Linked DNA regions of Drosophila melanogaster. The protein of the gene in region 2 purifies or fractionates together with the protein of the main gene of each other region. This does not show direct contact. Each region holds a gene or a part of one and is shown on either strand. Other genes may lie near its edges.

Evidence for each region.
Region 1: the proteins of CG8117 (region 2) and CG14715 purify together in Drosophila melanogaster (affinity purification with mass spectrometry, with the first as the bait; one large-scale study listed by BioGRID). This does not show direct contact.
Region 3: the proteins of CG8117 (region 2) and Polr2B purify together in Drosophila melanogaster (affinity purification with mass spectrometry, with the first as the bait; one large-scale study listed by BioGRID). This does not show direct contact.

The regions. Positions count from the first base shown.
Region 1 is NT_033777.3:11,672,305-11,675,431, reverse strand, and holds CG14715 (uncharacterized protein), read right to left. Parts: upstream 1,212-3,127; 5' UTR 1,151-1,211; coding exon 1,004-1,150; intron 941-1,003; coding exon 671-940; 3' UTR 509-670; downstream 1-508. Other genes in the region: CG18476 (uncharacterized protein), read left to right, coding at 1-477; CG42327 (uncharacterized protein), read right to left, coding at 1,970-2,204, 2,308-2,855.
Region 2 is NC_004354.4:15,642,676-15,645,494, forward strand, and holds CG8117 (uncharacterized protein), read left to right. Parts: upstream 1-1,546; 5' UTR 1,547-1,615; coding exon 1,616-2,104; 3' UTR 2,105-2,316; downstream 2,317-2,819.
Region 3 is NT_033777.3:14,124,044-14,130,611, forward strand, and holds Polr2B (RNA polymerase II subunit B), read left to right. Parts: upstream 1-1,747; 5' UTR 1,748-1,903; coding exon 1,904-1,925; intron 1,926-2,052; coding exon 2,053-4,221; intron 4,222-4,296; coding exon 4,297-5,231; intron 5,232-5,290; coding exon 5,291-5,695; 3' UTR 5,696-6,068; downstream 6,069-6,568. Other genes in the region: twf (twinfilin), read left to right, coding at 1-144; 140up (upstream of RpII140), read right to left, coding at 462-819, 882-970, 1,032-1,197, 1,261-1,433. UniProt on the Drosophila melanogaster protein: DNA-dependent RNA polymerase catalyzes the transcription of DNA into RNA using the four ribonucleoside triphosphates as substrates. Second largest component of RNA polymerase II which synthesizes mRNA precursors and many functional non-coding RNAs.

The DNA.
Region 1 (3,127 bases), on a different chromosome or scaffold from region 2:
CGCAAGCGCAAGGAGGCAATTAAGCGCTTCCTCTGCTCCCTGTGCGGAATGGAGACGAGATCAGCCGCCGCTCTTGTGACCCATATGCGACGCCACACTGGCGAGAAGCCCTTCAAGTGCGATCTGTGCGAAATGGCCTTTCCCCGCCACTCAGAGCTGGCCTCGCACCGCCGGATGCACACCGGCGAGAAGCCATTCCACTGCACCGTCTGTGGCAAGGACTTTGCCCGCTCCGATAAGCTCAAGCGCCATATGCTTACGCACAGCGGCCTAAAGCCGCACAAATGCACCTACTGCGAGAAGAGTTACCGTCAGGCCAAGGACCTGAAGCTTCATCTCCAGCAGCACACCGGCGAATGTCCTTTCGTGTGCGGCACCTGTGGCGAGCGCTTCATCCAGAGCAGCACGCTGGAGAAGCATCGGTTGATGCGGCGTCACTTCGACGAGGTGGAAGCGTGGCTGAGACGCCAAAAGTAAGGGGCTCTTGCAATAAATACAATTTGGTCTAGTATAAAAGGAATGACATTATTATTTATTGGTCGTGGCGTGGCATCACTTCAGAAACAAGACAAATTACTACTTTAAATATTTGAGCATTAAATGTTTATGACTTTAGTTGAAAGTAAACTTTGGGTGTAGCATGGAATGCCTATTTGTGGCCCTATTCGCTTTACAGCTCTTCAGATCCAGAGCGCGGTTCGATTTTTACCAACTCCGTATCGAAGACGAGCACCGCATTGGGGGGAATCTTTCCGCCACCCGCTCCACTGGCTCCGTATCCCAGCTCAGGCGGAATCGTCAGCTTTCGCTGCTCACCCTCACACATACCAAGGATTCCCTGATCCCAGCCCTTGATCACCTGCCGAGCTCCCAGGGTAAAGGAGAAGGGAGTGCCGCGGGAGTAGCTGCTATCGAACTCTGTTCCATCCTGCAGTGCTCCCTAGAATGATTCCAAATTCGGGGTTAGGTCGGCTAGAGATCTTCCTTATCTGATTTCCCTTACTCTGTAGTGCACGTGGACGAGATCGCCGCCCTTGGCCTTCCGGGTGCAGTTCTCCACCCGCTTCTTAATGCCAATCTTCACTTTCGGATCGCTGGCAGCGGAGGCGGCCACAAAAGCGCAGATTAACAAAATATAAGTTAACTTCATCTTATCGAAAGCCAGTATCAAAAAACACTCGCGGTTTAGTGTGACCAGAGATCTACAATAATTTAACTTGTTCCCACTGCACACATAAAACCAAATAAATATAACAACTCAAATAGTTTTCAACGAAATTAAGAGATTAAAACTTGTTTTTTTTTTTTAACTTTGAAAAAATTAGTAACCAAAAGAAATTTTATGTAAATAAGAGAAAGATCAGAAGTGCAGTAGTATCGGTTCATAGTTAAAACCCAATCAAAAAAGGTCTCACTTAAATGCGAAGCCCGCGAAATTTAAAACTTCAAAAACCACTGCTGGACATATTTTTTCTTGTAATTTACAATAATATGAGTATAGTACAGCTCGGACTTAAAAATAACTTACGTACATTAAAGCTCATTTAAAATAGATACACACATTGTTTGATTACATATTTGACTTTCTTAAAACAAGGAGAGCTCCAAATAATGATCATTTGCTCCGGATTATATGGCCCCGAAGCGCGTGACAGTGCAAAAACAAAAATTGACATTATAAATATGCAACAGATTATCAGGAGATATACGAATGTACGATTATATCACAATAATAAAGGAATACATACAATTTAAATGATATTTAAAGCCCGACATACAACGAAGCCTACGCTTAATTAGGTGCCAACATTCAAGCATAATACTAATTTACACTAATATTTCGTATAAAACATAGCTACTATTATTACAAAGGGTCCCATTGATCAGTGCTGTAAGGGTGAAAGGTGAACTCAATCGCAAATTCGGTTTCCACTCGATGGGCTCTGCCGCTAACACTGCCATCTGGCTTTCAGTTGTCATTGGACAGATTTGTGATCTTGGCCGCATACATGCTGGCCACCTTGTAGATAAATTCATACTGCTCCTTGGTCTGTACGGCGCTGGCACGTCCGCGTCGCACGTAGTAAACCAGTTGGGGGATGTCCACGGACCGCTTCGGTGTTTCCAGACTGCGGATGGCCATGTCCGACGCTATAATGGTACCGGTTCGTCCCGTGCCTGGAGAACAGTGAACGGTTAGCGGTCTGCAGGGGGAGAGATGAAGAAGTTAAGACACAGAACATTAAAAAGCCATGCAACACACAACAACTGCTTTGATATGAATGGATGGAGATTATGTCAACCTACCCCTGCTGACTTCGTGTTCCGCTTCGACTTGAGATGTTTCCATTAATCTCGTGGCTGGACGTGCTGCCCGCCTCGGCTTTGCTGCCGTCCGCATCCATTGACGTCTCCAGGGTCGCGGACTTCTCGCGCAGCTCGTTGGCCTGCTCAAGGGAGTAGGACTTCAGCGAGGATCGCGCTTCCAGCAGCATGGCGATGATGGGCGCCTCCTCGGCCGGTACACCCGCCTCAGGCCATTTGTACCAGTAGTGGGTGAGCTCACGGCTCTCCTCGCCATCCACTCGCTTCAGAACCAATGTGGAAATGGCATAGCGATCCTTGACTTCGCGATGCTTGAGGGTCACCTGGTAATCGCCATAGCTGCTATGATTGTCCAGAGTCGCCGACGGTGGCAGGTACTCGGCGCACCTCTCAATTCCGTTCTCACTGAGATCCGTCGCCTGGATGATCACCCGCGACTGCTGTTCCCAGATCATGCGCCAGAAATCGCTGGTCGTGCTCTCCAGCGGCGCCTGGCAGGCTATGTAGTAGTTGGGTGCATCCCTCGGGCCCTGAAGTGATTAAAAAAGGTATCAAAATGATGTCTTTCCATTGGATAGCATACTAGTATTATTTGAATTTGAAGCTATCTAGCGTTTTTCGGCAAAAAGACGACGCGAGGTTGAGTAATGACATAACCATCAATTAAAACCGATTGCGGCTTAACTCTACCCCTGCCCACACAATGACTGGCGATCAGCTACGCGCGCCTCTCAGATAAACGATACCATAAAATCGCACAACAGACCTCTGCTGCTTGAATCTCGACATGCTTAGGTTATCG
Region 2 (2,819 bases):
CCAGCCATCGATTCAACCATCCAGCCAGGCAGCCAGCCAACCAACCAACAATTGGACTTTAGAAAACTTGGAAAATGCAAATTGATCGAGGTAAATTAGTGGAAAATTGCTGCGTACTGGAATTTAACTATTTAAGTGGGACATTTTAAGTTTTATTCACACATAATTGATGATTCTGCAGGAGTTATTAGTAAATCCTCATCGATCTTCATGTAATCATTCAAATGTTTTGTAATATATTATACATAAACCACATTGTCCAAACTTTATTTACTTATATTTGTGTTTTTTAAGATTTTTCTTCAATTTGATTTAAGATTTTGCAAGAATGTTATCCAAAAGCTAATGTATTTTGAACAGTAGTTTGAAACAGGAACATATTTGAGATATTTTCTTAAATTTTCTTTGGTTGCCCCTCATGTTGGCCACACACTTTCTTTTTATTTTCGCCAATCTGGAGAAATTGATTGGCCACAAAGGTTCAAGGTTTTACCCATTGTTCTGGGGCTTGTTTACCAAGCCAAATACGTTGTTGGCCGAAAGGTGAAAGACAAAAGGCCGCCAAGGTCAGTAATCGGCCGTGAACCAATTCCCCAGACCATTGATAGATAGATACATTTGTATCTTTATATTTGGGTAGCTTCGAATCGATGGCGGCTGTTTACGTTACGCTGAGGTCGTCAAGTTTAACAGTTGAAGGTCGGCGGAGGCGTTTAAAAACGCTAGAAAAACGCGCACGCACAGTGGGACGAAAGCGAAGCCAAGTGGGACGTTGGCAAGCGGGGGTGTGGCTGGGTGGTGGGTGTTTTAGATGTTTGTGTGGTTAAGTACATTAGCAGATTTATATCCGGCAACAATAAAAAGAACGATTCGCTAAAAAGCTAATGACTTGGATAATGATTTCGATTTTGTTTTCAATTTCGCTCGCTTGGGCTTTTTTCCTACTTTTTGTGGCTACCCCCCCCCCCCCCCCTTCGTCACTGTTGTTTGGCTTTTCAATATTTCAATTTTCCATTTCCCATTTTCCTTTTTTTTTTTATTACTCATTTTCCTTTTGTTTTTGGTGCTTCTGCGGGATTCGTGCGTCAATAATTAGATCATCTCCGCGCTGTTTGTTGTAGACGATTAGCGAAATCAAAAGCCAGCGGCGCACAAAGAAAGCGGAACGACAAACACAAACATATAGACTAAATGGGAAATATCATTTCCATTTCGATTTTGATTTTCATTTGTGTTTGGTTTTCCTTTCAGTGTCCAATTTTAGCACATTTCTTGGGGGCCACAGCGGGCGTTATGGAATAGTGATGCATTACGCAGGGGATTCCCAAATCGAACATTTATACATATGTAGATTTATCTATTCAAATTCATACTAATTACATGCTAATCACAACGGTTAAGAAATGATTAAGTAGAAATATTGCATAATAAATCCGAAATATTTAGACCTTAATCAAGTTGGGTTGTAAAGTTGCCGAGTAAAAACCTTCATTTACCTTGCCGTTCCTGTCAGCTTAGACATCTCTCAGTGACCTCTCAACTTCTCACAATCTAAAAATTGTGCTTTCCGGTTTCGTTGAATAAATTCACTAAACTTTCTTTCGATTTTGCAGCCATGTCCATGGAAATACGCATCAAGTGCCGCGAGATGTTGGCAACCGCATTGAAATCGGGCAACATGCCACCAGGATGTGGCGATCCGGATGACATGGCCGCTAAACTGGAGGACGCAATTTACGGCGACTTGAACGGCTGCAAGGTGAAGTACAAAAATCGCATACGTTCGCGTTTGGCCAACTTGCGCGATCCGAAGAATCCAGAGCTGCGCCAGAAGTTCCTATTAGGTCAAATAACGCCCGAAGAGTTATCCAAGATGACGCCCGAGGAGATGGCCAGCGATGATATGAAGCAGATGCGCCAGAAGTACGTTCAGGACTCGATCAATGCGGCACAGATGGCCAAGGTTCAGGGCACCAAGACGGATCAGTTCAAATGCGAACGCTGCGACAAACGCAACTGCAGCCAATTGCATATCCGTGATGGTGACGAGCCCATTATCACCTTTGTGATATGCGACGAGTGCGGCAACCGCTGGAAGAGCTAGACAACCGTGGAGAGAGTCCCTTGAAGGAGTCACCCGTCTTGGCTGGATACCAAGCAAACGAACTCACACAATTCACAATATCTCATATCAATAAACAGACTGATCTTCCGTTGGCTTCCACAATATGTAAATAATACTTTAACAAGAATACATACAACATACAACATACAACATACATATTATGGAAATATATTACATGTCATAAAAATCTTATTCATTCGTTTTAAATACCAGAGGGTATCAATGAGTCCATCATCGATGGATGCTCCTTTGTTCGCCTGCGAAAGCAGATAAACTAGCACCGAAAGTCCGAAAGAAAGCAAATCTTTGTTTCATAAACATTCAACAATATACGAGTTTGCTTGTATAAAAAACGAGCATAGCGCGAGCGTTAATTTAATGAATTTTTCGACTATTAGTTAGCACTTTACACTTTAATGAATCATTCGGCGCGATGATCTCGGAGTGGGTGGGATCGGATGGGATTGAATTGGATTGAATTGAATTGGATGAGATGGTATATATAGTATAGTATACTATGTTTAGTATGCGTGGGTCGTTTCCAAGTGCAGACAAATTATAGACGTTAAAGCATTTGCTTTATGGCCCACATTAACGGCATTGAATGGGATTATGGGTTTGGGATTCAGGTTTGGACTGCGAACTGGGATGATAGGTGGACTCTTGATGGGCACAATGGGAATTGCTCCCCAGA
Region 3 (6,568 bases), on a different chromosome or scaffold from region 2:
GACAGCGGCAGCGAGCTGACCGAAGCCTTCTTGCAGGACGAGCTGCACCCAAAGAAGATTCTACACCGACCGGCTTTTGCCAAGCCCAAGGGGCCACCAAACCGAGGCGCCAAGCGCCTCACGCGTCCCACCGCAGAGGACTAAGTCTGAATCCCGATCCCACCGAGTCAATTCTGTTTATCGCCCTTCTACGTACTGTTTCCTAGCAGAGCATTTAATTTATTGTATCCAATCGTTTATTTCTTTTGTGTTGTGTCTATCCCGTGTCTATATGTGTCCGTACGTCAGTCGATATCTTTAGAGGCACTAGGCATCAACTGAAACATCGCATAGCAGCCGCCAAAGTGGGCTTCCTTAAATGTATTCTTGTCTATGTAACTTTAGATGGACATATATGCAATTTATTTAAATTAAAAAAAGTAACTAAGTTCACACTGGCGTCTTCTTTAAGTCCTCAGGACTCACTTGATCGTGTCCAGCGATACATGTTCGGATGTTTTCTCGTCGTGGGCCTTGAAAAGCTCTGGGTTTTCGTCCTCTGTCAGTTTTTTGAACGCCTGTTGAATGTTTTCGTCGCGATCGAGTCGCCATTTGTACTGCCAGTAGCGAACCTCTTCCATCGAGGTCCCTGATGCTTTCATCAGCAGCAGCGACGTCACACCAGCCACGCCGCCCAAGAAACCTCCAATGATTCCACCTGCCGCCATGCCCCGCAGACCAAGACTCACTTTGTAAAGCGAGCCGGTGATGGAACCAGCGGCCAAGTATTCGTAGATTGAGGATTTTCCACGGTACACCGACATACAAGTGATGATGCCGCTGTAAGGAACACATTTTTGTATCACACAGATACAGATTTGAATTCGTGTTGCTGAACTTACAAGTAGGATGTGGTAAAAAGTCCCACTCGCCAGCCCCATTTGAAGCCGCCTTTGGCAAAGTTGACTGTGAATTGATCTTGCAGCTTTTTCTGTAATTATGATTAAAAACTTGATTATAACATATTTAAATGATAATACGTAGATACCTACCTTGGCATCAAAGTGCGATTTAAATGCTGTGGCCTGGTTGTTCTCCATGAAATTCATGTAGGCCACGCGCGATTGTGTAACTCCGCCGTAAATAGCTCCAATAAGGAATCCTAGGAAGCCGGCCTGGTAAACCGAGTTAAGCTCGGAGGATATGCTGCCAAACTCGCTATTTAAATGTTTATGTACGGTCAGTAGATTTTAGTATAAATGGAATTCTTAGTTTTCCTACTCGATTGTAAACATTTGCTTGAGGCGCTCCAGTCCTGTTTCCTCTGGTGGTTTACTGGCCAGAAAGGCCTTGTATGTTTTGTTTTCCTTATCGACTATTTCATCTGCGGCGCCTTCGAATGTTGGCAGGATGCCTGCGATCAGAAACCGGCGTCCTTTCCACAGAAAATTCATTTTTTAAGCGTGTTAAATAACCAAGTAAAACGAGTACAACAATCTCAGCTGTTTGCCGGTCTGTTAGTGTTGGAAAGTGTGCGTGTCATTGGTGTTGGCAAACTCTCGGTTTAATTGTTTTTAATTTAAATGCGTTTGTTATTAATAAAATTATATTATTATAATAATTTAAGTTACATACTCATTTAGTTGTTCATATATTTTTTTCTTATATCATTCACACTTTTAAATTTATTTTGTTGCCAAAAACAATTTTATTGTGTTTACAAGTATTTGCTATAACTTTATGAACTGCACCTTGTGCTTTGCTTTTGCCGTTTACCAACACAGCACAACGCCGCTAATCGCGTTGTCGGCAAACATTTGTTGTGAAATTTTCTACGTTTTTACAATTTAATTCATTGCAAATCCAATTTATTGTTATTTACTTGAACGCATAAAGTGCTTCTGCACTTTAGAAAACTGAAATCATGATGTACGACAACGAGGAAGGTGAGTAAAATGAATTGCGAAAATTTGTGCATGCACGTTGGCGTGTACCAAAATTAATATGGCGGCTGGAGCGCTAGGGCTCCGCATTGTTAGCAATGAATTTCAATGGTCAAATAACATCTTGCAGAACTGTACGAGGAGGAGAATGCCGAGGAGATCTCTCACGAGCTGTGGCAGGAAGCCTGCTGGATCGTGATTAACGCGTACTTCGACGAGAAGGGCTTGGTGCGGCAGCAGCTGGACAGTTTCGATGAGTTCATTCAGATGTCGGTGCAGCGCATTGTGGAGGATTCCCCCGCCATTGAGTTGCAGGCGGAAGCGCAGCACACATCCGGAGAGGTGGAAACCCCGCCCAGATTCTCGCTGAAATTCGAGCAAATCTATCTTTCCAAGCCAACACATTGGGAAAAGGATGGTTCGCCCAGTCCTATGATGCCGAACGAGGCCCGCCTGCGAAATCTAACTTACTCCGCTCCTCTCTACGTGGACATTACGAAAACCAAGAATGTCGAGGGCCTGGATCCCGTGGAAACGCAGCATCAAAAGACTTTCATAGGCAAGATTCCCATCATGTTGAGATCAACGTACTGTTTGCTATCACAGCTTACTGATCGTGATCTTACGGAGCTGAACGAGTGCCCGTTGGATCCCGGTGGCTACTTCATCATCAACGGCTCCGAGAAGGTGCTAATTGCCCAAGAGAAAATGGCCACCAACACAGTGTACGTGTTCAGCATGAAAGATGGCAAGTATGCCTTTAAGACTGAGATTCGGTCGTGTTTGGAGCACAGTTCCAGACCCACGTCTACACTGTGGGTAAACATGATGGCAAGAGGATCGCAAAACATAAAAAAGTCAGCCATTGGTCAGAGGATTATTGCCATCTTACCGTACATCAAACAGGAGATACCCATTATGATTGTGTTTCGAGCATTGGGCTTCGTGGCCGATCGCGATATTCTGGAGCATATCATCTATGACTTCGACGATCCCGAGATGATGGAAATGGTGAAACCTTCTCTGGACGAGGCTTTTGTAGTCCAAGAGCAGAATGTTGCCTTGAATTTCATTGGAGCTAGAGGAGCACGTCCCGGAGTCACAAAAGACAAGCGTATAAAGTACGCTAAGGAAATTTTGCAAAAGGAAATGCTGCCCCACGTTGGAGTATCCGATTTCTGCGAGACCAAGAAGGCATACTTTTTGGGCTACATGGTTCACCGGCTGCTCTTAGCCTCTTTGGGCAGGAGAGAACTCGATGATCGAGATCACTATGGAAACAAGCGACTTGATCTCGCTGGACCCCTCCTGGCCTTCCTCTTCCGTGGTCTGTTCAAAAACCTGATGAAAGAGGTGCGCATGTACACACAGAAGTTCATCGATCGCGGAAAGGACTTCAACCTTGAACTGGCCATCAAGACTAATATTATTACTGATGGTTTAAGGTATTCCTTGGCCACTGGCAATTGGGGCGACCAGAAGAAGGCGCATCAGGCGAGAGCCGGTGTCTCCCAGGTGTTGAATCGCTTGACCTTCGCCTCTACTCTTTCCCATTTGCGGCGTGTGAATTCGCCAATTGGCAGAGACGGTAAACTGGCCAAACCTCGTCAGTTGCACAATACTCTTTGGGGTATGTTGTGTCCCGCTGAAACTCCTGAGGGAGCAGCTGTTGGTCTGGTGAAGAACCTGGCGCTCATGGCTTACATTTCTGTGGGATCACAACCTTCTCCCATTCTGGAGTTCTTGGAGGAGTGGTCTATGGAAAACCTGGAGGAAATTGCTCCTTCTGCCATCGCTGATGCTACAAAGATCTTTGTGAACGGCTGCTGGGTGGGCATACATCGTGATCCTGAGCAGCTCATGGCAACGCTTCGTAAGTTGCGTCGCCAGATGGATATCATCGTGTCAGAGGTGTCTATGATTCGAGACATTCGAGATCGTGAGATCCGAATCTATACAGATGCTGGTCGCATTTGTCGGCCACTTCTCATCGTGGAAAACGGATCGCTGCTGCTTAAAAAGACTCACGTGGAGATGTTAAAGGAGCGAGACTACAACAACTACAGTTGGCAGGTCCTTGTAGCCTCTGGAGTGGTGGAGTACATTGATACCCTTGAGGAGGAAACGGTCATGATCGCTATGTCTCCCTACGATCTGAAGCAGGACAAGGATTATGCTTATTGTACCACATACACACATTGTGAGATCCATCCAGCCATGATCCTGGGCGTGTGCGCGTCCATTATTCCCTTCCCCGATCACAATCAGAGTCCGCGTAACACCTATCAAAGCGCTATGGGTAAGTTTATGAGTATTCATTACTGTTCTACTTGAAATACTAATCCATTTATAACGTTTTTTTCATCTTTTATAGGTAAGCAAGCTATGGGCGTTTATATTACCAACTTCCACGTGCGTATGGACACACTAGCCCACGTACTTTACTATCCGATGAAGCCACTTGTGACCACACGTTCCATGGAGTACCTGCGTTTCCGAGAACTACCAGCTGGCATCAATTCAATCGTGGCTATTCTCTGCTACACTGGCTACAACCAGGAGGATTCTGTCATTCTGAATGCATCCGCTGTGGAGCGTGGATTCTTCCGCTCTGTGTTCTACCGATCATACAAGGATTCGGAGAACAAACGTGTCGGTGATCAGGAAGAGAACTTCGAGAAGCCTCATCGCGGCACCTGCCAAGGAATGAGAAATGCTCACTACGACAAGTTAGACGATGATGGAATTATTGCCCCAGGAATTCGTGTATCTGGCGACGATGTGGTTATTGGCAAGACCATTACCCTTCCTGAAAACGACGACGAACTGGACAGCAACACGAAGCGTTTCTCCAAACGAGATGCCTCCACTTTCCTGCGAAACTCTGAGACGGGTATTGTGGACCAGGTGATGCTTACGCTCAACAGCGAGGGCTACAAGTTCTGCAAGATTCGAGTGCGCTCGGTGCGTATTCCGCAGATCGGCGATAAGTTCGCTTCTCGTCACGGACAAAAGGGAACGTGCGGCATCCAGTACCGTCAGGAGGACATGGCCTTCACATGCGAGGGATTGGCACCCGATATCATTATTAACCCCCACGCTATCCCATCTCGTATGACAATTGGTCACTTGATCGAGTGTCTGCAGGGAAAACTGGGATCCAACAAGGGAGAGATCGGTGATGCTACACCCTTCAACGATGCCGTCAACGTGCAAAAGATCTCCACCTTCCTTCAGGAGTACGGCTATCATCTTCGAGGCAATGAGGTCATGTACAATGGCCACACTGGACGAAAGATTAATGCTCAGGTAAATTGCTTAACTTTCAACTTGCAATAATCTTAAACTAATCAGTCCCTTAACTACAGGTCTTCCTGGGGCCCACCTACTATCAGCGTCTTAAGCACATGGTGGACGACAAGATTCACTCTCGTGCTCGAGGCCCCGTCCAGATCCTGGTGCGTCAGCCTATGGAAGGTCGTGCTCGTGATGGTGGCTTGCGTTTCGGTGAGATGGAGCGTGATTGCCAGATCTCCCACGGCGCCGCTCAGTTCCTGCGAGAACGTTTATTCGAGGTCTCCGATCCGTACCGCGTACACATCTGCAACTTCTGTGGCCTGATTGCCATCGCCAATCTGCGCAACAATACGTTCGAGTGCAAGGGCTGCAAGAACAAGACGCAGATTTCCCAGGTGCGACTCCCATATGCGGCCAAGCTTCTCTTCCAGGAGCTGATGTCAATGAACATTGCGCCGCGCCTGATGGTCACCTAATCAGATCGGTATCCGCAACCGGACCACATAATAGCCCTAAGCTAAATGCTAGCAGTTAATTATTAAATTACCATAATTGTGACAACTCAATTATGTGCTTTGTGTGGCATTTTCTATTATTCCCGGAACTGGAGCGAATACCTGCCGAGCATTTTTAAAGACGCGAACGTGCCACAAGCGTATTTTGGGCGAAAGTCTGCACGGGTTCAAGAGCTGTTAGTGGAATGTGATTTATTTGCTTATTTGTAATAAGTTATTTTGCTCACAAACTTTTCTTGAGAGGGCAAATAGGGCATTGAAAGGTTTTGGTATTATTTGTGATTAAATTTTTGTTGGCAATTTAGTTGTCAATCCCTGTACGTTTTAGGACATCAAATAATCTGCGTTCTGACTCTTTATTTGCTCCAATTTTTCTTTGGTAATCCCCTAACAAAGTCCATTATCCAGCAAAATACCTTCGCCCTAAGCGTATCCTAAATTCGGTTTTTTACATAGAAAGCCTTTCCATTCGCATTTATTTTTTTGCCAAGCTTTTGTTGCCTTCTTTGATTTTGACGTAATGCTTTGGCCCGCGGTCTGTGACGCCCAGTGACAAAAGGGATTAGTTCTTTGTTGTCGGATGTGGATTGTGTGCGGTGGAGAAGGTGGTGGAGCTGTAGCCACAGCCGCCAATCGACTGACAGTTATTAATTGCCACTTGACGTGGCTCCGACGGAACGAGCAGCATCGGCCCAACCGAACTCGTGTCGCTGCCAATGCTGATACCAATGTTGGGGCTGATGGCCAAGACCATGCTGACACCCATCAGTCAGCCCGCCTGAGCCCGGCTTATGAGTAATTGAAATTGCGTGTAAATCCGCGAACGCGAAGTGG